Coturnix japonica: one gene and its partners. The protein of the gene in region 1 interacts with the protein of each later gene in a biochemical or structural test. Links are inferred from orthologs where the notes say so. Each region holds a gene or a part of one and is shown on either strand. Other genes may lie near its edges. The genes, in order: XIAP, PGAM5, HTRA1, UBE2D1, CASP9, HTRA2 and HTRA3.

What was found.
Region 2: the proteins of XIAP (region 1) and PGAM5 form a complex in vitro, tested with the Homo sapiens proteins (2 studies listed by BioGRID, with this or other methods). The link is inferred for Coturnix japonica from reciprocal best matches to the Homo sapiens genes XIAP and PGAM5.
Region 3: the proteins of XIAP (region 1) and HTRA1 form a complex in vitro, tested with the Homo sapiens proteins (2 studies listed by BioGRID and IntAct, with this or other methods). The link is inferred for Coturnix japonica from reciprocal best matches to the Homo sapiens genes XIAP and HTRA1.
Region 4: the proteins of XIAP (region 1) and UBE2D1 form a complex in vitro, tested with the Homo sapiens proteins (8 studies listed by BioGRID and IntAct). The link is inferred for Coturnix japonica from reciprocal best matches to the Homo sapiens genes XIAP and UBE2D1.
Region 5: the proteins of XIAP (region 1) and CASP9 form a complex in vitro, tested with the Homo sapiens proteins (12 studies listed by BioGRID and IntAct, with this or other methods). The link is inferred for Coturnix japonica from reciprocal best matches to the Homo sapiens genes XIAP and CASP9.
Region 6: the proteins of XIAP (region 1) and HTRA2 form a complex in vitro, tested with the Homo sapiens proteins (10 studies listed by BioGRID and IntAct, with this or other methods). The link is inferred for Coturnix japonica from reciprocal best matches to the Homo sapiens genes XIAP and HTRA2.
Region 7: of the proteins of XIAP (region 1) and HTRA3, one has a biochemical effect on the other in vitro, tested with the Homo sapiens proteins (3 studies listed by BioGRID and IntAct, with this or other methods). The link is inferred for Coturnix japonica from reciprocal best matches to the Homo sapiens genes XIAP and HTRA3.

What each region holds. Positions count from the first base shown.
Region 1 is NC_029519.1:14,635,339-14,638,838, forward strand, and holds part of XIAP (E3 ubiquitin-protein ligase XIAP), read right to left. Parts: intron 2,969-3,500; exon of another isoform or gene 2,658-2,968; intron 789-2,657; 5' UTR 756-788; coding exon 1-755.
Region 2 is NC_029530.1:1,103,835-1,107,970, reverse strand, and holds the start of PGAM5 (serine/threonine-protein phosphatase PGAM5, mitochondrial), read right to left. Parts: upstream 2,801-4,136; 5' UTR 2,744-2,800; coding exon 2,481-2,743; intron 1,984-2,480; coding exon 1,805-1,983; intron 1,535-1,804; coding exon 1,409-1,534; intron 1,031-1,408; coding exon 942-1,030; intron 662-941; coding exon 528-661; intron 1-527. UniProt on the Homo sapiens protein: Mitochondrial serine/threonine phosphatase that dephosphorylates various substrates and thus plays a role in different biological processes including cellular senescence or mitophagy. Modulates cellular senescence by regulating mitochondrial dynamics.
Region 3 is NC_029521.1:27,882,962-27,886,461, reverse strand, and holds part of HTRA1 (serine protease HTRA1), read right to left. Parts: intron 3,368-3,500; coding exon 3,253-3,367; intron 3,134-3,252; coding exon 3,076-3,133; intron 2,217-3,075; coding exon 2,121-2,216; intron 324-2,120; coding exon 155-323; 3' UTR 1-154. UniProt on the Homo sapiens protein: Serine protease with a variety of targets, including extracellular matrix proteins such as fibronectin. HTRA1-generated fibronectin fragments further induce synovial cells to up-regulate MMP1 and MMP3 production.
Region 4 is NC_029521.1:5,293,576-5,296,001, reverse strand, and holds the end of UBE2D1 (ubiquitin-conjugating enzyme E2 D1), read right to left. Parts: intron 2,176-2,426; coding exon 2,082-2,175; intron 1,265-2,081; coding exon 1,219-1,264; 3' UTR 501-1,218; downstream 1-500.
Region 5 is NC_029536.1:4,283,036-4,287,298, reverse strand, and holds the start of CASP9 (caspase-9), read right to left. Parts: upstream 2,801-4,263; 5' UTR 2,760-2,800; coding exon 2,628-2,759; intron 1,618-2,627; coding exon 1,404-1,617; intron 924-1,403; coding exon 843-923; intron 468-842; coding exon 436-467; intron 1-435. Other genes in the region: DNAJC16 (dnaJ homolog subfamily C member 16), read left to right, coding at 2,855-3,018, 3,091-3,157, 3,627-3,957. UniProt on the Homo sapiens protein: Involved in the activation cascade of caspases responsible for apoptosis execution. Binding of caspase-9 to Apaf-1 leads to activation of the protease which then cleaves and activates effector caspases caspase-3 (CASP3) or caspase-7 (CASP7).
Region 6 is NW_015439533.1:471,450-475,490, reverse strand, and holds the start of HTRA2 (serine protease HTRA2, mitochondrial), read right to left. Parts: upstream 2,801-4,041; 5' UTR 2,656-2,800; coding exon 2,318-2,655; intron 1,482-2,317; coding exon 1,013-1,481; intron 788-1,012; coding exon 755-787; intron 458-754; coding exon 349-457; intron 1-348. Other genes in the region: AUP1 (ancient ubiquitous protein 1), read left to right, coding at 2,963-3,012, 3,286-3,423, 3,893-4,041.
Region 7 is NC_029519.1:73,404,434-73,408,577, reverse strand, and holds the start of HTRA3 (serine protease HTRA3), read right to left. Parts: upstream 2,801-4,144; 5' UTR 2,496-2,800; coding exon 2,078-2,495; intron 1-2,077. UniProt on the Homo sapiens protein: Serine protease that cleaves beta-casein/CSN2 as well as several extracellular matrix (ECM) proteoglycans such as decorin/DCN, biglycan/BGN and fibronectin/FN1.

The DNA of each region.
Region 1 (3,500 bases):
TTGCTTAGACAGCTTCTCCCAAGCTCTGTACAAATAGATTCAGTTGAAACATTTCCAACATCCCGGCCCAGGACAAAAAAGCATTTGGGAAAATGCCTCTTGTGCTCAGACCAAGCTCGATCACCAGGTTCCCAGTTTTTCAGTTTTCCACCGCAACAAAAACATGCAACTTGATCACCGACACCTGTATAGTAGAGTCCTGCACCAGCTAACTCCTTCGGAGTCAATAGGCCATAGGGGGGCCAATTGTGAAAGGACTTCAGCCTGGCTTCTTCGCTGCACATAGCAGGGTTTTTAGGATACAAAGTGTCAGACATGTCCACAACCTGCCTGGTTCTCAACAGGTAATCTGCCTCCACATCAGACAAGTCCTCCAGAGCAGAGGAGAGGGCTGAATTGCTGGAGCCGTTTTCAGTTCTATGCCGGTGGCTCTGCGCAAGAGGACGTACATCATTTTCCAAAAAAGCAGACTCAGTAATAAATCTGCAATCTGGGGAAAGGTTTTTGTGTCTGTCAATCGCTGAATCCCCAGGCTCCCATCCTTCAATAGTCGCATGGCAACTGAAGCACTTGACTTTATCACCTTCTCCAGTATAAACAAAGCCAGCTCGAGCTAGTGCTGATGCTGGAACCGGACAATCGCGGGGAAACTCCACAAAGGTTCCTAGCCGGGAGTGTTCCTGGGACCACTCCTGGTCACTGTCAGTGGCTGGGGCAGCACCAGGTTCAGAGTTATCCGGGCCATTACACGTCATCTCCTCATACGTAGGGCTCTTCCTTCAAATTCCCTAAACAAAGCATATACATGTTATCTTCAGACAGAAGGACACATCCACAAGCATGGAAATGAGCTAAATTCGACTAGCTGTGTTTTATGCATTAACGTCTCCTCCTGTTCCCTCCCTCCTTACCTGCTCCCACCCCTCCAGAGTCAAACCAAAATAAAGATAAAGCATAAGGAGTGGCAGGAAGATTGTGAAGTATTACAGGAATATGTTACAAAACATGACTAATAAGAATTTGCCTGTAACATACACAGATTTACATGTTCACATATTTAAGAGAATGCTTTATTTTTTGGAAGGGAATACTGCAAGAATAATAAAATTGAGGAAGAACTAAAAGCTGACAAAAGGCTTCTGAGATAAGAACATGGAATTATAGAATTAAATAATCTAATAGAATAAAACATCTGCCAAATTTTGTCTGGATGCAGTAATTCCTTTACAAGAAACACCTGAATGTTTTTTTTGACTGGTCAGCTCTGCTTAGACAGGATTGAACAGAAGGAAAATCAGGGTGGAGGAAAGAGGCTTGTTTGAATGCACTCATGCCAAAGCAATGGTACAAGATCAACAAGTAGCAGCGGGATGAGAGAAAATACTATTTTTTCAGAGGTTACAAAGTATATTCCCCCAAATCAAACACCTAATTTATGGAACTCAACAGGCCTTAAGTATTGATGTTGATGATTTCAAAACAAACCACCCGTAACTACCACACGGGAAAAGGGAAAGAAATTAAATGAGGTACAAGTAAGCATTACAAATTAGAACTATTTCCTGGTATACATTGCCAAATCCCCAACAGAGAAATACCCTAATTCCTCTGGAGAGGACTCCAAAGTGCTCTACCAAATGTAGTGAGAGACTCAGGCAAGAGATTAACCTGGCTGGTTTTGTCTGTAACAATCTTCAGCTGGAGGATGTGGTAAATCCTCCAAGCTACATTCACGGTTCCCCAATTCAAAAAGCGCTGCCCAGGTGCTGAGCAGAACAGAGCGAGACAGAGCAACCCTTTTCATCTCAAAAGCAGTTGCAGACTTCAAGAGTTGTGGCCTCTCGCTCTACACAACATGAAGCCTACAAAATATTTAGAAAAAAAAAAAATCACAGAAGTTTCCCATATTTTAACTGTAACGTTACAAAGACAGATGTTAACCCTGATAATGCACGCTTAGCTTTACAATCAGCAATGTCAAATCCAACAGATACCTTTCATCTATCCTTATTTTTATTCCCAAAAACATGTACCAGACTTATAGCACAGCCTAGAAACAAGCCACAGTTTAAGCTCAGCTCTGAGTACACACTAACTCTTTTAGTGCCTCACAAAAGCAGTGCTTTGGTAGCTACACCCACAGAACTGTGCAAGTGAACAACTCTCCTTACCCTACAACAAAAATGACACACAGTCTGGGTAAAATAGCGCGACATTTCTTTTAAAAATCCCCCAAATACTCCTATGAATAATCTTCCCAATAAGCCAACCAACTGAAGGTTGATTCCTCTTTTAGCAGTACCATGCAAATAAATACAGGGCATGCCAAGACACAGTCACTGGTCAAAGGACATTTCCCTCTAGAGTTGCTGAGCCAACAGTGATTTCAGAGCACAGAGAGTGATCGGGAGAGTCCTAAAGCAAAACTAGCAGCCATCACTGGCAATTTTCACTGGAAATCTTCATATCCCCCAAGTAATTTCTGTTGCAAAACTGTTGTTTTGCTCTCTCCATTTGAGACAAAAATGCTTCAAGTAAGCACCTACCTAACTTGTTCTGGGTAGGACATCATTAATGAAAAGCAATTGGACAGATCAGAGTTTCAAAGCGTGTGATTCCTGCCTTGGTGCAGGTTGCCTGCAGGCCACAGCCCCCACCTGATGGGTGCACGTATCCCTTTTGGCACAGAGGGCCCTTTCCCCAGAAGAGGAACCATCCAACCTTTGGGTGCCAAATTCAAGAATGGGTGCTGTGCTTCTTCAGCTGAATGACGTTCTGGTGCCTGAGAGTAAAGCTTTGATGCACCTGGCTTCCCCCGGTGTTTACAGCAGCTCTTCCGCTGTCCTGAATGCATCTGAGCCAGCACACAGCAGCCTCTCTCACCCAGGTAGCCACTACAGCCTTCTGTTGCATGTGCTAATCAGGAATGCACCTTATACAGTAAGAGGGATAAAGCAAATGAGAAACCTTCAATCAGTTATTACCTGTGCCTCACACAACTTGACAGATACCCTGCCTCATTGACAGGGTAATGGCCATCAAAGGTCTCAGCGCAATGCTATAGCAAGCACCCACACCCAAACCCAACCCTTTATGACAGCTCCATTCACTCAATGAGAAGCATTTATCTGAGCCAGTTTAAAAAAAGAAAGATTATGGCGCACTTTGCCACAATGACAAAGCAAACGAGCCAGCAGGAAGGTTGAGAAAACACATCAGCGGCATCATGCTTACTGCATGCAGCTGTGGGCACAAGGCTGGTTTTGAGCACCAACTGCAATTAGTTCTGCAAGTCGGTTCGTAACTAATGTAATAACATCTGTAATAACACTGCAGAATGATTGTAGCTCAACAAATTCAGAAACAGCAAATAAATTATATTGACTGACCCACAGGTCTGAATTGTATGCTTGCTTTGACCTTCAAAGGGTAAAACTCAGTAATTACATGAAGTAACATGAAAGCTGTAGGTATTAATATAGTGTGTGTATATATATATA
Region 2 (4,136 bases), on another chromosome or scaffold:
TAGCCTGAAATGGCAGATATAGAGGGTAAGGTGAAAAGAAGATGGAAGAAAGCAATGAGGAAAAGCACACAGGTATTTCAGAAGCCTGGGGAGCAGAAGGACAATCCCTTTTTGCACAGCAAACAATACTCCGTGAACCTGATCAATAGCTTTAAGTACAGCAATTTCACAGAGCTCTGCAGAGAGGGCAGACTCAGCTAAAAAAAATGCACTGAAATTGTTGTAGCTGTTGATCAGATTAAGGCTTAATCACATCTGTCCTGCTCAAAACACATCATCTCACAGACAGATGTACAAAAGGGCATCAAGCCTCAACGATTTCACTTGAAAGCGTTCTAATTTTCAAACCCTGTATCACCAAATTCACCCTGTGGTGAAGCTGCAGGACCAGCTGCTCCTGCTGTGAGCGCCCACCTTCAGCCATCTCTAACACGGCACACAAACACCCCCCAGCTCAAACAGTGCAATAAATACAGCAATGCTAATCCAGCACAACTCCACCTCACAGCACGCAGTCCAACACACACCTGCAGACAATATAGCGGATCACGTTGGCGTGGCAGACAAAGATCTCATAGCTGTCCTCCTCCTGCTTCACGTCAGCCCGATGAATGAAGTTTCGAAACGCAGCCTCAATTCGAGCTCCATCTTCGTAATACTGCTAATGGCACAGAGTTCAGATTTAAACACAGCTCAGAGCAGCGTTTGCACGTTGGCTGCATCTGTTAAAGATGCACACTTGAGGCTCAATTAACACACAGGGATTCTTAATTATTTTAGGGGTTCTGTACGCTTACGGAGGAGTAAAAAGTAAGTATTTATCTAAGGTCTATGATGAAAAGCATCAGCTCACCATTATATAACCATATATATTCATTACCATCACCCATATAAAGTATGCTCCAAAACATAGAAAGGGAAAAACATGGAACAAAGGTTACCACAGCGTCTGGTTTCCAGTGGGAGACGGGAGGGTCCGGTTCTATGGGTGCTCCCTCTCTCAGCAGATCAGTGCTAATTTTTTTGACACCTAAAATATGAAACATGCTTTCAGAAAGGAGCTGTTACCCCACATGTTCCTACAGACCCACAACTCTGCTGCCAACACTTATTTCTTCCCTGCTGACCTGCAGCAGTCCTTGCTTTACACAACACTTAAGGGAAGAGCAGCCAGCAGAGCTGTCCCGCACACAGAGGTGCCAGCATCTTACTGAGGGGCAGCTCCCCCTTCATGTTTTAAAGAGAAACTGGCGACAAGCAGAAGGAGGGCAGCCAGCTTCCTTCACACTGGTCTAGAAGTTGATTACTAACATCTCAGCTACACTGTAAGCCAAGGACTAGCTCAGAATCCCACTGGAAGCAGTCTGAAGGATCAGGAGATACTGAGAAATCAACAGAAGCCACTCACCTGGGAGGTATTTGCTTATAATTTCAGTTGTTTCGGTTGCTCTGGTCATGGAGGAGTGGATGATCTGATTAAACTTTAACCCCAAACTTGCCAGTCTGTGTCCCGTCAGCTCGGCCTGTTCTCGACCTTAAGAGAGTAAATCAGCAAATTAACAAACCAGACCCATTGGATAATGGGAACCCTCAAAGGTCATTATGGAGCTTGGTTTAAGACAAACCACAGCCAAGGGCAGCTGCATTGGCCAGCAGGAAGACCTGCTCAGCTGGAAATTCCTTTATGTTTTTTATCAAATCCAGTGTTTTCTCCCACAGAAGAGCTGTGCTGCCGACCTGTGCTGCCAGGCCAGCAGCTCTCATCCATGGCTGGGCTTGATCATCACTACCCCAGCCCACCTACCCAGCGGGGTCAGTGTCCGGTCCTTATCGGCGCGGCCGTCCAGGTTGTACTGCGAGTGGCGGATGAGGAAGATGTGGCGGGTGGCCCTGGCCCTGCAGTGCTCCAGCCGCGAGCTCAGCTCCTCCTCCCCTGTCTCCTCGTTCTTCTTCTTGAGGTTGATGAGAGCCAGCGGTTCACGCCTGGATGGGTGAGTGGAGAACCCAGAGACAGGAATTGCACAGATAAAGAACCCCGCTGCAGTTATAAGCACCGAAACGGGCTGTTTAATTAACATAATTAACCAATTGTTTTGCAAAACGGATCGAAACCACTGCGCTGGAGCTACCGATAACATCAATTAATTATGGCTTATAACTGAGCGATAGAGCCAAGCAATTTGGCAACAGCCACCGCTAAATGAATCCACAGCCCCCCAGCAGAGCACAGGCCGCATCACATCGTATCACATCATCACATCGCATCGCATCATATCATCGCATCACATTGCATGGCATCTCATGGCATCGCATGGCGGTGCCGCCCGGTGCTGGGCTCGGTCCCGTCGGTGCCTCCAACATGTCGGTTGTTCCCGTATCGCGGAGCTGTCGGTCCCGCTCCGCCCCATTCAACAGGCTCCGTCCCGGCCGCTCGGTACCGCCCGCCCCCCCGTCCCGTGTCGCCCCCCGTCCCCTCTCACCGGTCCCAGTTGCTGTCCCAGAACCCGCCGCTCCCCGCGGGCCGCTCGATCCAACCCGGTCCCGGCGGGCAGGAGGCGGCGGGCGGCAGCAGCAACAAACCCTGCGGCGCTGCGGGGGCGGGGGGAGCGGCGGCGGATCCCCCCCCTGGTCGCGGCTCGGCGTCCCCCCGTGCCGGCTGTTTGCTCACGGCCACGGCCGAGAACAGCACGGAGCCCCCGGCCAACCCGCAGGCGGCCAACGCCAGGGCGCGGCGGAACGACATGGCGGGGGACCGGCCTCGTGCCTCACAACCACGAGCCGCCCGCAACGAGCAGCTCCGCCCCGGACGGAGAGCGGAGAGGGGCAATATTGCACGGAACGGAACGGAACGGAACGGAACGGAACGGCACACGGCAGCTCTCTGCTGCCCGCAGATAGGCCCTAAGCCCGCCCGTCCCTGCACAGACACATCCAGCATCTCAATAACGCTGCACAACCCCAGCAGCCATAACACACATCCCTTAATACACAGCCCGTAACACACATCCCGTAACACACAGCCCCCATAACACACAGCCCGGCGCTCCTCCCATGCCCACACCGTGGAGCTGCAGCTCACTGTGCTCTCATTACTATATGCCTGCTTTAACATCAAGAGATGAGAAGAAAGCAAGCTGATACACAGAACATCCAAACCTCCACAGAGCTCCCCTTTCCCCAGCAGCCGACAGAGCTGCCCATGCATGTGGTCCCAACCTGCGGCTGGGCTGAGGCCGGATGGGACAAACACAGCAATTCCTCAAAAATACAACAAAATAAAACAGCCCAATTGCACGAACTGAAATCCCAAACCTGTACCTCGGTGCCAGCTCAGTGTTATTAAGTTTACCCTTCTGTAAAGCCTGAAGTCAACCAGGTTGAGAACAACGAGCTGTTGCAGCAGCACCCACAGCTCAAACACAGCGCCCTGCACAGCATCACTGGCTGCTTCACTCCACGCTCTCAGTTTGTGTGTTTGTTTTAATACTCATATGACTACAATTCTAATCCCATTTCATTGTGTTGAGTTTCATCCGTGAGCAGAAAATCCCCCTAAGAGGATAACAACGACTGATGGTACCCGCTAATGGCATCATCCTGTTAGTGCTGCTGAGACCCGCAGTGCGCCCATCGTGCTCATCTCGCATGATGCAAAATGCAGCTGTAAAGTTATTAGCAAAAGAGGAGAGAAAGGCAAGGAAACATGAGGTCATGGGCTCCAAATGCATCCAGACACTGCGGGCTCACTGCTGGCCCTGGGGAAGGAAACACTGATGTCATCCTGGCTTGCTTCAGGCCCAGCAACATTTAAATGATACACGAGTTTAAACTATTGGGTTATAAAACAAAGTCGACTTGAGCTCATTTAATAGTTGTTTCAGAGGGCAAGAAATACTGCTTTTAAGCATCATTGGTTTGTATGACTTGACAAGTTTAAAAAGAAAATGAAGAAAGAGATTTGGAAGCTGCTCTATTGGCTTTCTGATCGTATCTGACTGCTCCACCAAAGAGTTTAACACAGCCACACAAACACCGCATTGGTGAAACACAACATCAAATCTGGGGAGATTCTGGCATGATAGGAAGCCTACATAAATCCATGCTGGATCTGATTCAGATCTTGACTCTAGTCTAGG
Region 3 (3,500 bases), on another chromosome or scaffold:
TAAACCTATTAGAAGTTATTCTGTTGGCCAATACTAATCCGCTGAAGAAGCAGAACGTTGGTCAGAAGTCTAACGTTTCCTGTACCAGCACAGAGAGAATATAAGCAGTCCAATGCTGTTAAAAGAAAACATGAAATCCAGCTCATGTTTCTGGTTAGGGATCAATTTCTTCAGGAATTACTGTTAACATAACATCTTCGTTACCCCTGCGAACAACCATGTTCAAAGTACTGTCCTTTTTAATAATGTCACTGACATCAGAGGCTGAAGTTATCGACTGTCCATTGATGCTTATAATCACATCATTGTCCTTCAGGCCACCACTGAAAAGACAAAGGAACAACGAATTACTGTTAGGGCCATTTCATTACCCTCACTGTACTTTTCAGCCGAACCAAAAGGCACTGAGTATTTCCATTTTCACACCTGACAGTAGTCAGACAGACAGAGCAGGCCCCCAAAAAGCAAACAGAATTTATGTAGCTGTGCACATACTGCTTGGCAGCCATTCATATTTTAACCATACATCGATCTAACTCAGTCACCAGGAGCGCTTGGGTGCCTATAGAAGCCAGACACAACCACCAGACACCAACCAAATGGGGCTGGCCCAATGTGGCTCCTCTGCCCAGGGCTGCCCAGACTCCTTCTGGGACCAACACAAACGGGGTGCTGAGGGATACCATCAACCACAGCGTCTTGCCTGGTCTTGCACAACAATCTGGCTCCAAGTCATGGAAATATTAACCAAGAAACCAGATCAGACATGATTCAGCCCTTCAGCATAATCCGTTTTCACAAAACCACAGACCAGTCATAGGCTTCTTCCGCCCGCAGAAAATGCTTTACATGAGTGCCTCTTGTAAGCAGGATGCCTCGGCCAACGTTGTCAGCCTGCTAACAAATCTGCTTGCCTACTTTTAGCTGTGGCTTTCAGCATTTTCCTCAGAGAATCCATCCCTGGGTGTCTCACACTGGTAGGCTCCTGCTCTTGACTCAAATCCCCATGTAAGCTGCTGCAGACTCCCCTGAATATCTGCCCAAATGGAGCATCTCGAGTTTGCCTTCACATTGCAAGGCTTTGTTACCTCACTGTTTCCTACCTAACGTCCTGCTCTCACCCTCTGCTAACTACTGTTATCACTGCAATGTTTTTTCCTGCTCCTTCAATTTGGAACTGCTCATCAGGGCAATTAACATGTGTTATTATTACATTACATCTCTTATTGACAAACAGGGATCATCCAACCATCCCCTTGTGATCAAATATAGTGACACCGAGAAGCTTTCTGCCTAAGTGTTTGGTGCTACATTTGCTTCTTCGCTGCCACAAATTTATGTCTTTCTTAAATGACCTCCAGTTGCAGAAAATGGACAATGTTTCCTATTTCCTGCTCTGGATCACTGAGCAATTTTGTATTAACCAAACTCTAGAAGGTAGGCGCTGCCAACATGAGACAGCCAGCCCAGTCCCGCTGACTGGAGGCCTTCAGCAAGGCACCCCGTGAAGCATGGCACTGAGCAGTGCCTTTGAGGTTCTGAGCAGTGCTGAGTAACACTGAGGAAAATATCAGCTGGCCAAACCCAAAAGCTCTTCCCAGCAGCGTTGCTCCTGGAAAGGTCTCACGTAGAGCAACATTCCATGCCAAAAGATCTCACCTCAAACTGAGGTGCATCAGGATTTGCCATTAGCAAGCACAGAAGAAGCCAGCCACATCCTTGCAAAGCAGGAGCAAAATGTCCCCCCTTGCCCTCACACAGCAGTGACCTGCAGGGTTGCAGGAACACGTACAAGCCATCAGCTCCAACTCATCCCTGGCATTGGTACATCAGAGCTCTTGGAAGCGATGGCTGAGAAAAATGATTTTCATGCTCCCCGACTCCTTGCCCTTTCAGCTGGGAACTCTGACAGGGCTTTGCAGCAACGTGCTGGCACATCTACATTATTGCTGATCAGGGAATGAACGAAAACCACAAACTGATTTCAAGCTGACGACCTAATAGCTATCAGATGGTCGCAATTCTGTTCATTTAGCTTAACCAGGATAGCCAGCTAAGCATGGAACATTCCCTCCATCAGACAGTGGCAGTGGTTTTGAGAGTAAAGCGCTCCAACTTACGCTTCAGCTGGTGTTTCTGGAATGACATCAATAACGTAGGCCCCAGAGACAACGTCAGGAAAGTCTTTATGGCGATCTTTCAGCTCTCTAGCTTTGCTGGAAAATGAAGAAGCATCCATAAGAATATTGTGCCAACATGGGGGAGAAAAGCATGGATTCTTACTCAGTTAACATTTAACAGCTGGGATATTTTACACATGTTGATGTGACACCTCACAATTCATTTTAACCCTTAAAAGTATATCAAGAATTATCACACTTTTCCATGCAAATGGCTTTTACTGCTTATTTCTGGCAGTAGAAAAGACCAGCTTTTTAAAAACTTGGACTTTAGTTCTAGAAGATTCAGAACACCTAAAAAAGCCTCCAGTTTTCAGTGCTTTGTCATGCTGCTGATCCTTAGGCATAGTGAAATGCAAACTGATGGCTTGCTCTACTAGGGAAAGTAGTAACAGTCCATCTATCGTAGCCTAGCACACACACAGAGTGTTTGTTGATCATTCCTATTAACATAACCTGCTCTCTTCTGGTTTGAGTTTGAATAAGCAAAGTCTACCAGAAAGCTTCATTTCACATTAAGTGATCTTAATCAAAACCATTTCCTACAAATGAAGCTATGCGTGGAGCTGCTGCGATCCTTGACCATGGTGGCAGGGCAGGATAGACAGCAGCAGCAGCAGTTGAACCAGGACAAATTAACAATTGCTACATCTTCTCTTATAAAGTGCTAAAGGAATAAAATCAAAAGCCAGGGAGCTGTTGGACAACAGCTCATATGGAAGTCCATAGAGGAGTCCAACTGTGTAATGGACACAGCAACAGAAGGTAAGAGAAACTGGGAAGAGTTGGCATCAGCAATTTTCTGCCCCTTCCTGTAGACTGCTAGCTTGATCCAAGCCCATGTGAAATGATCTCAGTTCAGCAAGATAAGAACTATTTTCCCACTTTTACTTACCTAGGAGTTAGAGACATCATTCGTATGCCAATGTATTTCTTTTTGGTTATAGCCTTTCCTACAAAAAGTAAAACAGGCCTTCATCAGTGGCTCTTATCCAACAGGGAAGAGAGCCTTGTGGGTTGTTGGCTCACTATATTAAATCTATCTAACAGCAGTTAGATAGAGGTACGTTACCTTTAGCTTGTCTGTCATGGGATTCAGTTAGGAATTTCTTGATTTTATCAGATGGAATAGCAAATGAGATCCCAGCCGTAACCTTTAGTGTGTTAATTCCAATGACTTCACCATCCTGGGGAAAATGAGGAATTGCTGTTAAAGGTGAAATGCACATCACAAAGTGAAAGGGATTATTTCTTCTGAGCAATCACAAAGACAAAGGTGCAAAACAATTCTGTAGCTGGGCTTGTTTTCTGAAGTTCCTT
Region 4 (2,426 bases), on another chromosome or scaffold:
CACAAGGTGACCCCAAGGGGCTGGGGAGGATCGGAGACCGGTTGTACGTAAGGTACGAGGCTGGACGGAACCGAGAGCGGAAGAAACGAGCTCTGCCAGCAGGCAATGTGAGCGCAGAGCCCCCTGCAACAAAGCGCTGCTTTCATAGCAACGCGAAACATTCCATCAGTGAGCAGAGCTGCTCCCCATGGAGCTCAGCTCACAGTTCATCGGTACAGCACAGATGTAACGCCAGCAGGATCCTGCAGGCAGAACCAAAGCTCCTACCGTGCCCCCTTCCCTCCTGCCTTGAAGTGGCCACCCAACATTGATTACAGTGAAGCACACTTAGTACATGCATTGAAAAAGGGAAAGAAACAAGCCAACAGCCAGGACAGCTAGTAGAAAATCCATTTTTATTTATATGGAAAAGGCTACATTTAGATTTGTAAAAGGTCTGCGTGTTATGCTGCCCACGTGTCAAAAATCAGTCGTGAAACGCAACAAAAAGGTTACATATCTTTTCTACACAGCAGTGCAATTAGTTCACATTGCAATAAAATTAAGTCAAGTATGCAACAGAATCAAAACCATGTGTCTGTCCGTAATCATACCAAGAATTACAGTGCAAAGAGCATTTTAGGTTTTAAGAAGTCTGCAGTCAGTCTTTAGAACACCCCAGAGCGGGCAGGATATCCCTTCATCACCAGCAGTTGTATGTTGTCAATACCGTGCACGAGAAAGTCAGTCTAGAATGAAATGACTTACACCGTAAATAAAATATATTTAGTCTATACAATTAAAAATACAAATTATAGATGTGAACTAGCAAAAGGAAATCCAAACACACCTATGAAACAGATCGTATATCTTAAAGACACACATACAGTATCATCACTTAAAAACGGCTACTTCTCTCCAGCAAAAATAATTTGGCTGCTTTACAACTGCATTAAGGATCTCGCAGTCTGAAGATGCAGATGTCCAACTCTTAAAAACCATAATAAATGTCTTCTGCAAAGCATACAAAGAGGATAAATACTCTCGTCACAGTCATAAGGTTATTTTTGGAAGTTTTCCCTTGCTCCAGAAACACACTTACATGGGTGGAAAAAGAAAACATTCAAGGGGCTCGATGGGACGTTCCAACAGTCGGCTGTGCTCCGTTTCCTTCTAAGTTTGAAAAAAACACACTAGAATTTACAGTACTCTGTGGTGTATGAAAAAGTCTTCACAAGTTTACATTGCATATTTCTGAGTCCATTCTCTCGCGTGTCTGTTGTATCTGTATGTGCGGAAAGAAGGCATTACAGTGAAGAGCTGTTAGATCTTGATGAAGACGTGCAATAATCAATAGGCTACTTGCATACATTGCAAGAGATCTTCAGTAACTCAGCACTAAAGATAACCCACAGGTACCCAAATGTATTCTACAAGGTAAGAAATATTTGTTGATATCACGGAACTCCCGCAGGCAGGTTATTTCACTCTTTGTAAACTGGACTGGATCTGTTTGTAAAACTTTTGCCTCACAAGGATTATTTTCTCCATAGAACCTTTAGAAACCACACAGTCTAGTCTGCACTATACAGGGCTTGAGCTTCTTGCCACCTGCAATTGCTATGAACTCTTAAGAAATGGATGAATCACTTGACTGGCTATCTACAGATGTCACTACTTCAAGCTGCAGTGCTTGAAGAAGCCACCCTGTGAACACAGGGCTCTGAAACACAACTCCAGGAGTGCCAAAGCCCTGGATTTGCAAGCGACCTTTACATCGGTTATCTGATCTTGTGGGGGTTCAGCCAGGCAGGCAGCCAGATCACAGCACTTCAAAACCCTCCATAGGAGCGTTGCACAAATAGCAAGCCTCAATAACATCATACAACATACAACAGTATGATGGTTTTATGCAAAAAAATATCTAACAGTTGTGTATGCCTACAGATTCCTGCTATTTTACTAATAGATGCTGTCAATATTTCAATAGCCAATACTCTACCATTAGATATCTCTAAAGGGATTTTTCAAGGAAATGGACAGGCTGCTGTAGCCAATCACCATCTGCAAGTACCACACAAATACATCTGTGTTATACTCACTTTTCCTTGTCTGACTTGTAGATCTGTGCAATATCCGGTACTAGAGGATCATCTGGATTAGGATCACAAAGTAAGGAGCATATGGACAATAAAACTAAATAAAAGAGACACCAAATTAAGCAAGTTAGTTCACTTGGTTTCTGCAGTCCTTTATGTAGACCAGTACACAAAATGAAGAAAGGAAGACTGGAAAGGAAATACACAAGTATGAAGCTTTCAGACAGCAGTCCTGCTCAGGAATATAGAATACAGCTCTTAGCAATGACTTAGACAACAGCTGCATCTTAAAGTTCATCTTAGAGGAATGCCAGTCAGAACCATTTATTTCTTGTTAAAATCTGGTGT
Region 5 (4,263 bases), on another chromosome or scaffold:
TCACTAGCTGTCTTACTTGAAAGTGCTTAAGCACCATATTTAGCTCCATGTCATGTTATTTGCAGCACGGTTCGTGTGATCCCAAGGAGGAGCTGACTAATGGATTGACCCACTCTGAGCACACTGCCCTGGTTACAGCCACGTCAGCCCCAGCACCAAGGACTGGATGTCACAGCACTGTTCCCAGCTGCAGCAGCTCTGTGCTGTGGGACTTCTTCAGTCTAAGAAGAAGTTTAAGCCACACTAAGACCTTATTTTGGACATTCTGTTCTTTGCCTCGTGAGGGTGAACACTTAAATATCTTCAGCCTTGCTCTGCCTTTTCAGTTCTTAAAGCACAAGCTCCTTGCAAGCAGAATCTCTGAAATGACTGGCAGCAAAGAACCCCAATACTATGACAAATAAACTGGAAAAGAAGAGGATTTAGAATACTAACCAGTCTGTGGTCGCTCTTGTCAACAGCTGAACCTACAACACACCACAGAGAAATGGGATTTAGCTCTCAGCACTCAACAATGAAATGTTACACCTATTCTTCGCAGAACTAACATCAACCTTGCCCTGTCATCTGTCACACGTGAGTGACACCCACCCCTTCTCACCCCATCACCCACCAGAAGCAGCATTTGGCTCTTATCTCTTAAACCACAAAGAGTCTCAGCAGTTAGAGCCTGGACCTCAAGCACACGCTCATCCCCACCTGGGACACCATACACTATTTAGTTGGGGTCACCTCCCAGCTAGCATGCATCTGAACTGGTCTGCAATTCACAGTGCAAGGACAAGCAAGGAACTGACCAACGAGCTGTCAGACCTCACTCAGGGCTGCAGGACAACCCTTACCCTGGGCTGGTGCTGGAGGCATCCGAAATCTCTCACTCTCAGCTTGGACTGGGATGGACAAGTATTCCGTAGTTCTCACACCTGTAATGGCATGGGAAAGTCATCTCTCTCCTTCTGCCCCTTCTAGTTTTACATTGGAATTAAGCAGCTCTTGTTCCCCTTAAGGACCACAGCTTGCAGCTACACCACTGCAAGGGCAGATCAAAACCACTTCTGTTTTTCTTTTATCTGAGTTCAGTGAGGTTTCTTATGACAGCTGTATGAGCCACGCCAACAGATAAAGGGCAGAACAGGAGTAGCAAAGCCACACTGAAACCTGTTTGCAGTGCAGCAGTACAAAGGCTACATGTGAAAAGCAGAAGGAAGCCGCCAGTGCACAACTGGGGCTTCAACACTTCTGCTACCAGAAAGCACAACATCCTCCTAACAAAGTCACACAGTCACCACTATGACCTGTGCCAGAGGATAACAAAACCAGGACTTCACAGCCTACTTTCTACAGCAAGAAGGAACCCAGCTACTACACTCCACCATGCAAAGAACCACGTTCTCACTACTTACTTTTGTCACGCCTTTCTCCAGGCAGCTCCAGCTGCACAGGCCTCAGATCCACAGGTGGGGACATGGGGCTTCCGCACCCCTCATCCAGCATGTCAGCCAGGTCACCGTGCCCGGTGTCCCTCAGGATGGAGAGGAATATAGGGAAGGCCTGCTTCCCACGGCTCTCCAGGTCAATGACCAGCTGTCGTGCTTGTTCCCTTCGGGTGCCGGCGCTCTGCAGAGGAAGGAAGGCAGGATAAACCTCAGTGATGCTCCCTGAGCCCTTCAGCTCTGATGCTTCCACTGCAGCATTGGCCACAGATAGAGACAGGAGGGAACGTGAACTGCTGGTTCTGGGGGATAAGTGGACCAGGGGATACACCCAGCTTATCAACATGGGGATAAGAGAAACCTTCTCAATCAGTTTAACAGTATCACGGAGGTGGAAACAAAGGGAAGGGCACCAGGCAGATGGACAGTGGAGGAGACAGGGGTATCACAGAATCACAGAATTGTAGGGGTTGGAAGGGAGCTCTAGAGATCATGGAGTCCAACCCCCCTGCCAAAGCAGGCTCCCTACACCACATCACACAGCTTGGCATCCAGGCGGGTCTTAAATATCTCCAGAGAAGGAGACTCCACCACCTCCCTGTGCAGCCTGTTCCAGTGCTCCGTCACCCTCACTGTAAAGAAGTTCTTATTAAGGAACTTCCTATGCTGTATTTCATCCCATTACCCCTAGTCCTGTCCCCACTCATTACTGAAAAGAGACCAGCCTCACCACTATGGCTCCCACACCTCAGGTATTTATAAACCTGAATCAAGTCCACTCTCAGCCTTCTTTTCTCAAGGCTAAACAGACCCAGTTCCCTAAGTCTCTCCTCATAGGGTACCCTGGGCCATGTCATGGGTATAGTGGGGACACAGGACTCCATGGGATACATATGACACTGGGGTTCTGTCACCAGGCTGAGGTAATACAGGGACTAGGTATTACAGGTAATAGGGACACAGGGACCCCCCAGGTGCTGTCACAGGGCTGAGATGATGCTGGATCCCTCAAGGTTTGGGATTGGGGGCACACGGGTCCTTTCAAAGCCTGACAAAGGCCTTGTGGGGGCAGGGGACACCCTTGGGCCTGTAAATGAGCTGATACCCCAAACCCCGTCACTGAGGGGACGAGAGGTTCTGAGGGGACACAAGGCCCCACCACCGACCCGAGAGGCCTCGGTACCCCCAGCCCACCTGCATGTCCTCCACCATCGCGCTGGTGAACACCCCTCGTTCCCGCAGAGGCCCCCATAGCACGTCAGGCCGCAGTCCCTCCACCAGCCGCAGCCGACCCCGCCGCAGTGCGCTCCGCCGGGCCTCCTCCATGGCCGCCACCGGAGGCGGAAGCGTCGCTATGGTGTCGGCGGGCGGGCGGGCCGGATGTGCTGGGTGTGGGGTTGAGGCCGGGGCCGGTGCCCGCCATGGAGCTGGGCCGGGTGGGCCCGGCCGGGATGTTGGTGCTGTTATTGCTGCTGATCACGGCACAGGCCGCACCGGAGCGGGATCCGTACCGAGTGCTGGGTGTGGGCCGCTCCTCCAGCCAGGCCGACATTAAGAAGGCGTACAAGCGGTTGGCACGGCAGTGGTACGGAGCGGGCCGGGCTGGGGGGTGTGGGGGGGTACGGCAATGGGTAACGGCTCCACCTTCCAACTGCAGGCACCCGGACAAGAACAAGGACCCGGGAGCTGAGGATAAGTTCATCCAGATCAGCAAGGCCTACGAGGTGAGAGGGCACTGCAGGGGGCTGGGAGGGGGATGAGGGCATTGCTGTGGGAGCTGGGGTGTATTAGGATGGGGAAGGGGAGGCTCAGGGTAGAGCTCATTGCTCCCTATAACCCCTGAATAGAGGATGTGGTGAGCTGGGGTTGGCCTCTGCTCACAGGTGACAGCAATAGGATGGTGCAGGTTGGATGCTGGTACTTACTGCATTCATCCCAAGGGCATTGGAATCTCCTTCTCTGGAGATATTCAAGACCCGCCTGGACGCCGAGCTGTGTGATGTGGTGTAGGGAACCTGCTTTGGCAGGGGGGTTGGACTCGATGATCTCTAGAGGTCCCTTCCAACCCCTACAGTTCTGTGATTCTGTGATTGCAGTGGGTTTGTATTCCCACATCCATTCCTTAAGGGATAACCACTGTCACCCTTTCACTCTTTGCACTGGGTTACCTTTCTTCACTCATTTCCTTCCTAGATTCTCTCCAACGAGGAAAAAAGAGCAAACTTTGATCGCTACGGAGATGCCGGAGAGAGCCAAGGCTATTCCCAACACCAGCAGCGCCAGTTCCACCACTTCCATGAGGGTTTCTACTTTGATGAGTCCTTCTTCCACTTCCCCTTCAATTCAGAGAGACGTGACACCTCAGACGAGAAGTATTTGCTCCATTTTTCACATTACATCAATGAAATCGTGCCAGATAGTTTCAAGAAGCCGTACCTCATTAAAATCACCTCGGATTGGTGCTTCAGCTGCATCCACATCGAGCCCGTGTGGAAGGAAGTTGCTCAGGAACTGGAGGCACTGGGTAAGGATGAAGCATTGGGGCTGAGCATGAATTTCCTTGCAGAATGAGGTTCTGGTCCATAGAAGGACTCAGAGTTTAGGTCACAAGGTTAACACTCTCTTGTGTGTTAGTAAGAACTAAATCAGTGAGGCTAAGCATTATAAACAAGGCTTTCCTTCTGACTCACAGTTTCAGCTCCTGGTGGTTTCACTGTTGTTCACCCCCAAGGTTAAAAGAGGAAGATGCCTTTCCTCCTTAATTTTAGTCCAGCAGCCATGGTAATAAATAACCACATGATTGAAGGCTGGTGTGTAAATCCTGTATGGC
Region 6 (4,041 bases), on another chromosome or scaffold:
TGCTTGAGAATACCAAGCAAATATCATGATGTCAATGTGAGAACCAGACAGCAAGAATCTGCACTAAACAAATTATCACAAACCCCAAGGAACAAAAACAAGGCAGAGTTCTTGGAAACTCTGGAAGTCTTTATCTGTGGCAGATGAGCAAATGGATCTGCCATGGCAGAGGGGTTCACTGCCTCATGCCCAATGGGAGAATCTTCCTATTCTCCAAAGGTTCTTCCTCTTGTTATGTCTGCCCACATGCCCATGTCTTGTTATGTCAGCTATGCCACAGCTTCTTCCCTCTGTCATCACCCTCCTTCTGGCCTCCTTCCCACCCGAGCAGAGAGGCATCCAACTCACTTTTGCGCTGCTCCTCCTTCTGCAGGAACTTCCGCAGCCGGTCTGAGGGGATGGCAAAGGAGATGCCTGATGTCACCTTCATAGTGTTCACCCCAATCACTTCGCCATCCTGCATGGAAAAGGGCAACGTGTTCTCCAACCTGCACCTTTATGGAGCTGTGCAAAACTTAAAGCCTGCGCACCGTCCCCCCCTGGGCAGTCTGACCCTGCTGAGGCCGGGCAGGGATGAGTCCCACCAAGCAGAGCTCTCACCCCACGCTAATTCCTTGATCCCACCCTTTAAGATGCCGAGAGCACACAGTTCCTCCTTCCCTCCTGACAGCTGAGGATACTTGCACAGTGCTCCCACTGAGGGCACACAGCCCCAGGAGAAAAGGCCCACTGGGATACATGCAGGAGAACTTACCAAGTTGACGAGGGGACCACCAGAGTTCCCAAACTGGAACAACAGAGAGAGCAGCAATGAGGCCACAAAAGCAAACCTCAAACACTACCCCACAGTGAGCAGGCAGAGCCCAGGGAACAGGGCTCAGGCTGAGAAACAGCCAGATCACCAACCAGGAGCACCCTCCTCCCAGCCTGCTGTGCCCAGACCTCACAGCACACAGAGCCCTTCCCCAGAGCAGGCAGCGGGACGAAGCTCCAGCCCAGCCTGCGCCCTTACGTCGATAGCGGCGTCCGTCTGGATGTACTCCATGTCGGAGGCGGTCAGGCCCAGCTCCCGGCTGCCGCGCTGCGCGGAGCTGACAATGCCGGACGTGATGGTGTTCTGCAAGGCGAAGGGGCTGCCCATGGCCACCACGAACTCTCCCTGCCGCACCTCAGAGGAGCGGCCGAGGGGCAACGTGGGCAGCGGGTGCTGGAAGAGAGGAACCGGGTAAGCAGAAGGCGGGAGAGGAAGGGAGCCCCTGGGCAAAGTGCCCCGCACCTTAGGCTTGATCCGGATGGTGGCAATGTCTGCGACCTGGTCCACGTCCTGCACCACAGCGTCGTACTGCTCCCCGCTGGCCAGCTTCACCCGCACACGGCGCCGGTTGGCCACCACGTGAGCGTTGGTCACAATGAGCCCATCAGGAGACACCACGAACCCCGAACCGTTCGAGATGGGCACCTCACGGCCTGAGAATGGGTGCCTGCAAGGTGGGCAAAGGTCATGGGAGGACATGGGGGCCCAGAGGGGACCAGTGGGTATGTGTGAGGCCAGGCCAGCGGGCAGCTGCATGGCTCAGCATGGTGGGCTGGACGGCAGCGGGAGACTGTGAGGAGATGCCCGGATGACAGCAGGACATGGGAGCTCCTTCACAGCCCCGCGCTGGGTGTCCATCCCAAGAGTCTGCACAACTGTGTGCGCTATGGGGCAGCAAGCAGCAGGAACCAGAAATCCATGGGAATGGCAAAAGCGTCTCCCCATGAGGACCACAGAGGTGCAGTGGGAAGCACACACTAACAAAGAGCTGCGGTGGACATTGGTGTCTTTGGGACAGATAAGCAGTTCAGGTTATGGAAAGACACAACCTGAACACAGAGCTTTGCTGTGAGGGCCACACGGGGTGAGCTGGTGTCCCTGTGAGTCTATTTGTGACCTTCAAACAGTCAGAGTGGCTCAGGGGGGCTCTAAATTGATGAAAAAAGGCATCAAAGCAACGTGACAACGGGGACGTGAGGACACCGGGGCCCAAGTACCGGCCAGTTTCACCCTCTGCCTTTGGGAACGGCCTGGGGCAAACGCTGCAGGAAAACACTTCCAGGCCCACAGTAACATGGTACCATCTATTGTAAACTGAGGGCTCCCAGCAGCGCCTGCAGTGCCCATGCAGGTGACACTGAGGCCGGTCATAAGGCAGGGTGACCGTAATGCAGGGTGACAATAAGGCAGGGTGACTATAAGGCAGGGTGACCATAGGGCAGGGTGACCGTAAGTCAGGCCGGCCGCGCGGCAGCGGGTGGTGCCGGGCGGTGCCGTCCGTACCTGCCCACGATCTCCACGTAGACCAGGGCGGGCGCCGTCTTCTCCACGACGTCGGCGATGAAGTTGAAGGCGGCGCGGGGCGAACCGGGCGGCGGGGCGGGCGGGGCGGGCACGGCGGCGAGCAGCGCGGGACGGCGGCCTTCCCGGCACCACAGCAGCAGCAGCGCCGCCGTCCCGGCGCCCAGAGCGGCGGCCAGCAGCCGGTGTCCGCCGGGGGGGGCGGGGCAGGACGGCGGGGGCGGCGGCGGCGGGCGGGGGTTGGCGGCGGACACGCACATCGCGCGGCCCCAGCGCGTGGCGACCGGCGGAGCGCGCAGCCACCGGCACAGCGCCGCCATAGCGCCGGAACGCGGGGCAGGACGGGAACTGCGCGCTGAGCAGGAGCGGGACGCGCGGCTGGGTCGGGCTGGTCGGTGCCGCCGGTGCCGCCGGTGCCGCCGCTCCTCCCGCTCCTCCCGCTCCTGCCGCTGCCGGCGCCGCGCCCGCGGGCGGACCAGGCCGCGCTCGTGAGCTCAGGGCGGCGGCGCGGGGCACGCCGGGAAGGCCGCGCTCCTCCCAGAGCGCCCCGCGCGGTGCGGGCGGGCGGCGGAAGATGGCGGCGGGTGGAGCGGGGTGTTGAGCGGGACGGGACGGACGGAGCGCGGCATGGAGCGCAGCGCGGCGCCGGGCCCGGAGCGGCTCTTCGACTCGCAGCGGTGAGAGCCGGGCGCCGGGCCCGCAACGTCCGGAGCCGCCGGGGGGACCCCGCGGGGCGGGACGGGGCGTCCCGGGAGTGGGCGGGAGGAACCGGGCCGGGCGGGGGCTGGGGGCTGAGCGTGGGGCTGAGCGGCCGGGCGGGGGCTGGGGGCTGAGCGTGGGGCTGAGCGGCCGCCCCGACCCCCCCCCGTCCATCCCGACCCCCCCCGTCCATCCCGACCCCCCCCGTCCATCCCGACCCCCCGCCCACCGTTGCCGTTGTCCTCCCGCAGGTTTCCCAGTGACGGGCTCGTGCTGCTGGCGCTGCTGCTGTACGCTCCCGTGGGGCTGTGTCTGCTCGTGCTGCGGCTGTTCATCGGGGTGCACGTCTTCCTGGTCAGCTGCATCCTGCCCGACGGGACGCTGCGACGGTGCGTGCGGGGACGGGCGGGCTCCGCTCATCCCGGGCCCTACGGACGGGCCGCCGTTACCGCGGGGGGTCCCGGGCAGCTCCGGGGCCGTTGTGCGCCCTGCGGTCACGGAACGGCTCTGTTGGAAGGGGCCGGGGCTGTGGGCTGCGCCCGGCTCCGATCGGAAACACACGGGGCTGTTGGTGCTGTTGGTTCTATTGGTGCTGTTGGTGTTGTTGGTTCTATTGGTGCTGTTGTCGCTGTTGTCAGCTCTGGGCCCGGTGCCCCCTGCCCCGTGTTTCCTGCTGCGGTGGCAGCCCTGCAGGCCGCTCTCAGCTGCGGCCCACAAACACTTCCAGTCTGTCGTGTCATTCCCATTTCGTACCGATATCTTTTCCCAACCCCAGTCCCGGGTTCCTGTTTTCTCGGCTCTCTGAGGCAGCTGTGGCTCAGACTGCACATCTGAGGGAGCCCTTTTTCCCTCCTTTAGCCTTATTGTCCGTGTGATGTGCTCAGTGCTGGGGCTGTTTGTGCAGCAGAGCGGTCCCCGTCTCCGTGACGCTGCGGTGCAGGTTTACATTGCCAACCACGTCACACACTTTGATCACAATGTCATCAACCTGCTGACCTCCTGCAACA
Region 7 (4,144 bases), about 59 Mb from region 1:
CTGAGGCCAGATTTCTTTCACCAGTGGGGAAAATAGAGACACTCGACAGTAATTTTAAACTGTTGATTTTCTTCTAAAACCTTTCATTACAGACATTGCATGTTGTTGTTAAAGAAAAAAAAAGAAAAAAAATACAACGAAAAGAAGTACCATAACTGACTTCTATTCCTGGCTCAGCCACCAGCTCAATATGACCTTGGGCAAGACACTTAGATTCTCTGAGCTTCAGTTTGTACAGCTGTAGAACTGAGTAAAAAAAAATTAGAACTTCACAGAGAACCAGATGCTTCAACTAAGCTGAGGTTAACCAGAACAAAACATAAAGCCAAAATAAAGTGAATACTAAAAAAGTTGCTTGAAAAAAAAGCATTACTTCTACCTCAACACTCTGAATTCCTAAGCCTTTTAAACAGTAGGCTCAGGAGGATTTCTTAAAGAGAATGTCATACACGCCAACCCCCTGACAGTATGTTAGCCCCTAGATGCAGGCTAGTTCACTCATTTTGGGTAAACACTCTAGATATGTCGAGTGGATCAGTTCCAACCAACTAGTTGGAGTACTAAAGCTGATGGATGCTTATGGGGAACACAAAGAAACAAACAGCAATTTATAACTGCAAAATACAGGAGAGACTGATCATCACATCTCCAGGTTAGCATCCGAGTAATTCTGGGCTCCGAAAAGATACATGCACTAATACATGATTTAAAACCCTGCTACACATATGATTCTTCTTTCCAGGAACTGTATGCGAAAAGATGTATAAGTACAATCTTAAAATAATATACAAGGAAGTGTGTGAAAATAAACTAGAAATGTTAACACTTCCACGAAGTGACCAATTTTAGTAACACTGACAAAAAAATAAAATAAAAAAAGCAATGTAGGTGGTTACTAAGCTTTTTAAAGTTATACCATCCAGCCTGAGGTTATCACAGATTATTACAATAGCCTAGGACAAGCAGAGGCCGTAGTATCCTACTGATAAACAAAGGACTATCTGATCTGATTTTAAACCATAAGTAAAATTCGTAGGCATCCATTCCCCTTTCAATTCCTCAAGACTACAGCTACAGCATTTCCTGTCAGAGGAAAATAAAACAGAACATGTGAAACATAGTCTTCTATCTGGTGCTTTTTCTGCATAGTTTGAGCAATACAGCCTTAACCTGCACTTCTTGCTAGAGATACTCATCTGGTAAATACAATTAACATCTGCTAACATCTCCAGGGAAGGTCTCAGAGCACACTTGCAGGCTGTGCTCTGTGTAGGATGTGCCATAATGGCTCTGCAGGGCAGCCCAGGCATGTAATGTCATTGAAACACATCAATAGCGAGTGCCAACCCTGGGATGGTTCAGTCTGGAGAAGAGGAGGTTCAGGAGAGACCTTATTGTTCTGTACTACTCCCTGAAAAGAGCTTGTAGTGAGGTGGGGGTCAGCCTCTTTTCCCAGGTAAAAGCAATAAGAGAAGAGATACTGGCTTTGAGATGTACCATGGGAGGTTCAGGTTTGCTGTTAGAAAAACTTCTCAGGAAGAGTAAAGTATTAGAAAGGACAGCCCAGGGACGTGGAGGAGTCACCATCCATGGAAGTTCTCATAAAAAAAAAGAGCAGACTTGACAATGAGGGACATAGTCTAGAGACGTTGCAGGCATAGGTCCATGTTTGGTCTATATGAACTTAGTGGTCTTTCCAACCTTAATGACTTTATGGCTCCAAAACAAGAGTGATGTGAATGGTTTCAGGGCAAACTTGTGGCACTGCCTAGATGATGACTGTGAAGGGTGTCAGTGCTGCACTGATCCGACAGCTGTGCCTGTGGTATCCACAGCCATGCCACCACCGTACAACCTTCCCAGCTTCCACCACAGGATCAAGAAGAGGGATCTGTGCTGCTCACAGAGAACCTGATCCCCTTCACGTGCCCCTGATCCACACCACAGCGATTACCAGCAACAGGGTGAACTGTTTGGCCCTGGGGGAACCCCCAGCTCTCCTAACCACCCCAACCCTCACCTCTTCCCACCCCTGCATGAAGCCCTCGCCCCGCATCAGGCCCCGCCATGCTCCTACCCGATTCACAGGCTCCCTTCTGCACCTGGGCGACAGCGGGCAGCCCGTGCTGCAGCGCCTTGCGGCTCACAGCCTTCAGCTGGCAGATGTTATCGTAGGTGAGGCCGTCGCTGCCGCACACCTGAGCGCTGAGCTTGCACTGGCAGACCCCCTTGGCGAAGCGCTTGCCCATGGGGTAGCGGCAGTCCAGGCTGTCCCCGCAGGGAGGGTCTTCCTTGCGGCCACACGAGTCCCCTTCTCCCGCGGCGCAGATGAGGCAGCAGTTGCAGCGGTCGGGGACGTATCCGCTGGGGCAGCTGGGGCTGGGGCACTTGGAGACATCGCAGCGGGTCGGGCACTTGGCTCGGGCTGCCGGGAGCTCGGCGAAGCCGCGGCTGATGCAGAGAACGAGAAGCGAGCTGAGCAGCGACAGCCGCATCCTCGGCGGCAGGAGGGGAGCGAGGAAGAAAGGGGAAAAGTGCAGTCACGGTGCAGGGAGGAACGGGAAAGTCGAATAGTGCGCACACGGGTGGGGAAGTCCTTGCAGACAGCAACAGACGGGAAGGCGGAGGCTGGAATACGAAGCTGCGGGACTAGCTGGCAGCGCTGAGGGGCCCGGCCATGGCCCAGCGGCCGCAGGAGGCAATGAGGACAAGCTGGGACGAGCGAAGCGATGAGGGTATATGTGGGACGAGCCCGGGGCCGCCGCCGCCTCCAGCAGCGGCCGTCGGAGCGCCGCCACCGCCAGGCCCCACCCCGGGCAGGGAGGGACCGCACGTTCCCCTCGGGCGGGGACGCCTGGAGAACTGGCTGCCCAGGGGGAAGGGCCGAGGTCCCCGCTGCAGCCGTCTGGAGGTGTGAGGCAAGAGGATGCTCTAAAATAACGATATATATATGTTTGCGTGTGTGAAGGTGTATATCTGAAGTTGTAACTTATGGGAAAAGAGGGGTAGAAAACTATTCTGTCTCCCCACGTAGAATCATTTGAGTTGGAAGAGACTCAGAATGTTCATATAGTCCCCTGTAATGAACAGGAACAGCTACAGTTCAATCAGGTTGCTCAGAGCCCCATCCAGCCTTGAGTGTCTCCAGGGATGGGACATCCACCACCTCTCTGGCCAGTCTATTCCAGTGCCTCACCACACTGCCAAAAACTTTCCTTATATATGATCTAGATCTCCTCTCTTTTAATTTGTAACCATTTCCCCTTGTCCTATTGCAACATTCACAGCTAAAGAGGCTGTCCCTTTCTTCCAGAAGCCTTACAGTAACTTAAGAAGAGAGACCTCGGTCATAACTCATCCAAAGACCAAACGAGCATGGCAAACCTTCCTTGCTGCATATGACTCACCCTTCACTTCTGCCCATAGTTCCCTTATCACATAAGAGATGCTACTCATTCAGCTCTGAAAGGTAGTGCCTTGGGCTTCCTCTTGATACCATCCCACTGACTGGGTGTAAGTAGGCAGTGGATGGCTTTAATTTACTGACCAGCTGCACCTGGTTTCACAGTCATTTGAAGGGAGAAGTGGAGACACGTTAGTACTGTCTTCTAGTTAAGGACCTTGAGTAGAGTAGGGAGAATCTTCAGCTACAGAAAGCTGAGGGTATTTTTGTTTCTCATGTTATAAGGACGGGATTCGAGACTGGATTCTGCAGAGAGCTACAGTCCCTCTTAAAGAAAGCTATAGGTGACAGCTAAAGATATTTTGTGGCTCAAGGTGAAAAAGGCATAAATTTTGCTGCATCTCAGCAAAGGTAAGACTGGCTGTTTTTTTTGCAAAGCAATACATAAAATATGAAAAAGAAGTCTATATTTTGATCCCAACTTGCTCTTTATGGAGACAGGAGATTCCTGAAATGAAGTGTTCAATCTGAAACATAGATCAGAAGGAAACAAGGGCTCTGTGTGTATAAAACATGAATGTTTTCATTATTTGTGATAACATTTACAAGGAAGAGCTCGGCGAAAGTATTTCAGATTATGAACAAATAGCAGTTTCTGTGTTATTGCTGTTAGAATACAGAATTTTTCATAGCTCTACTGATATTCTTATTAGTTAGCTTCTTTTGTAATTGCACATGAAG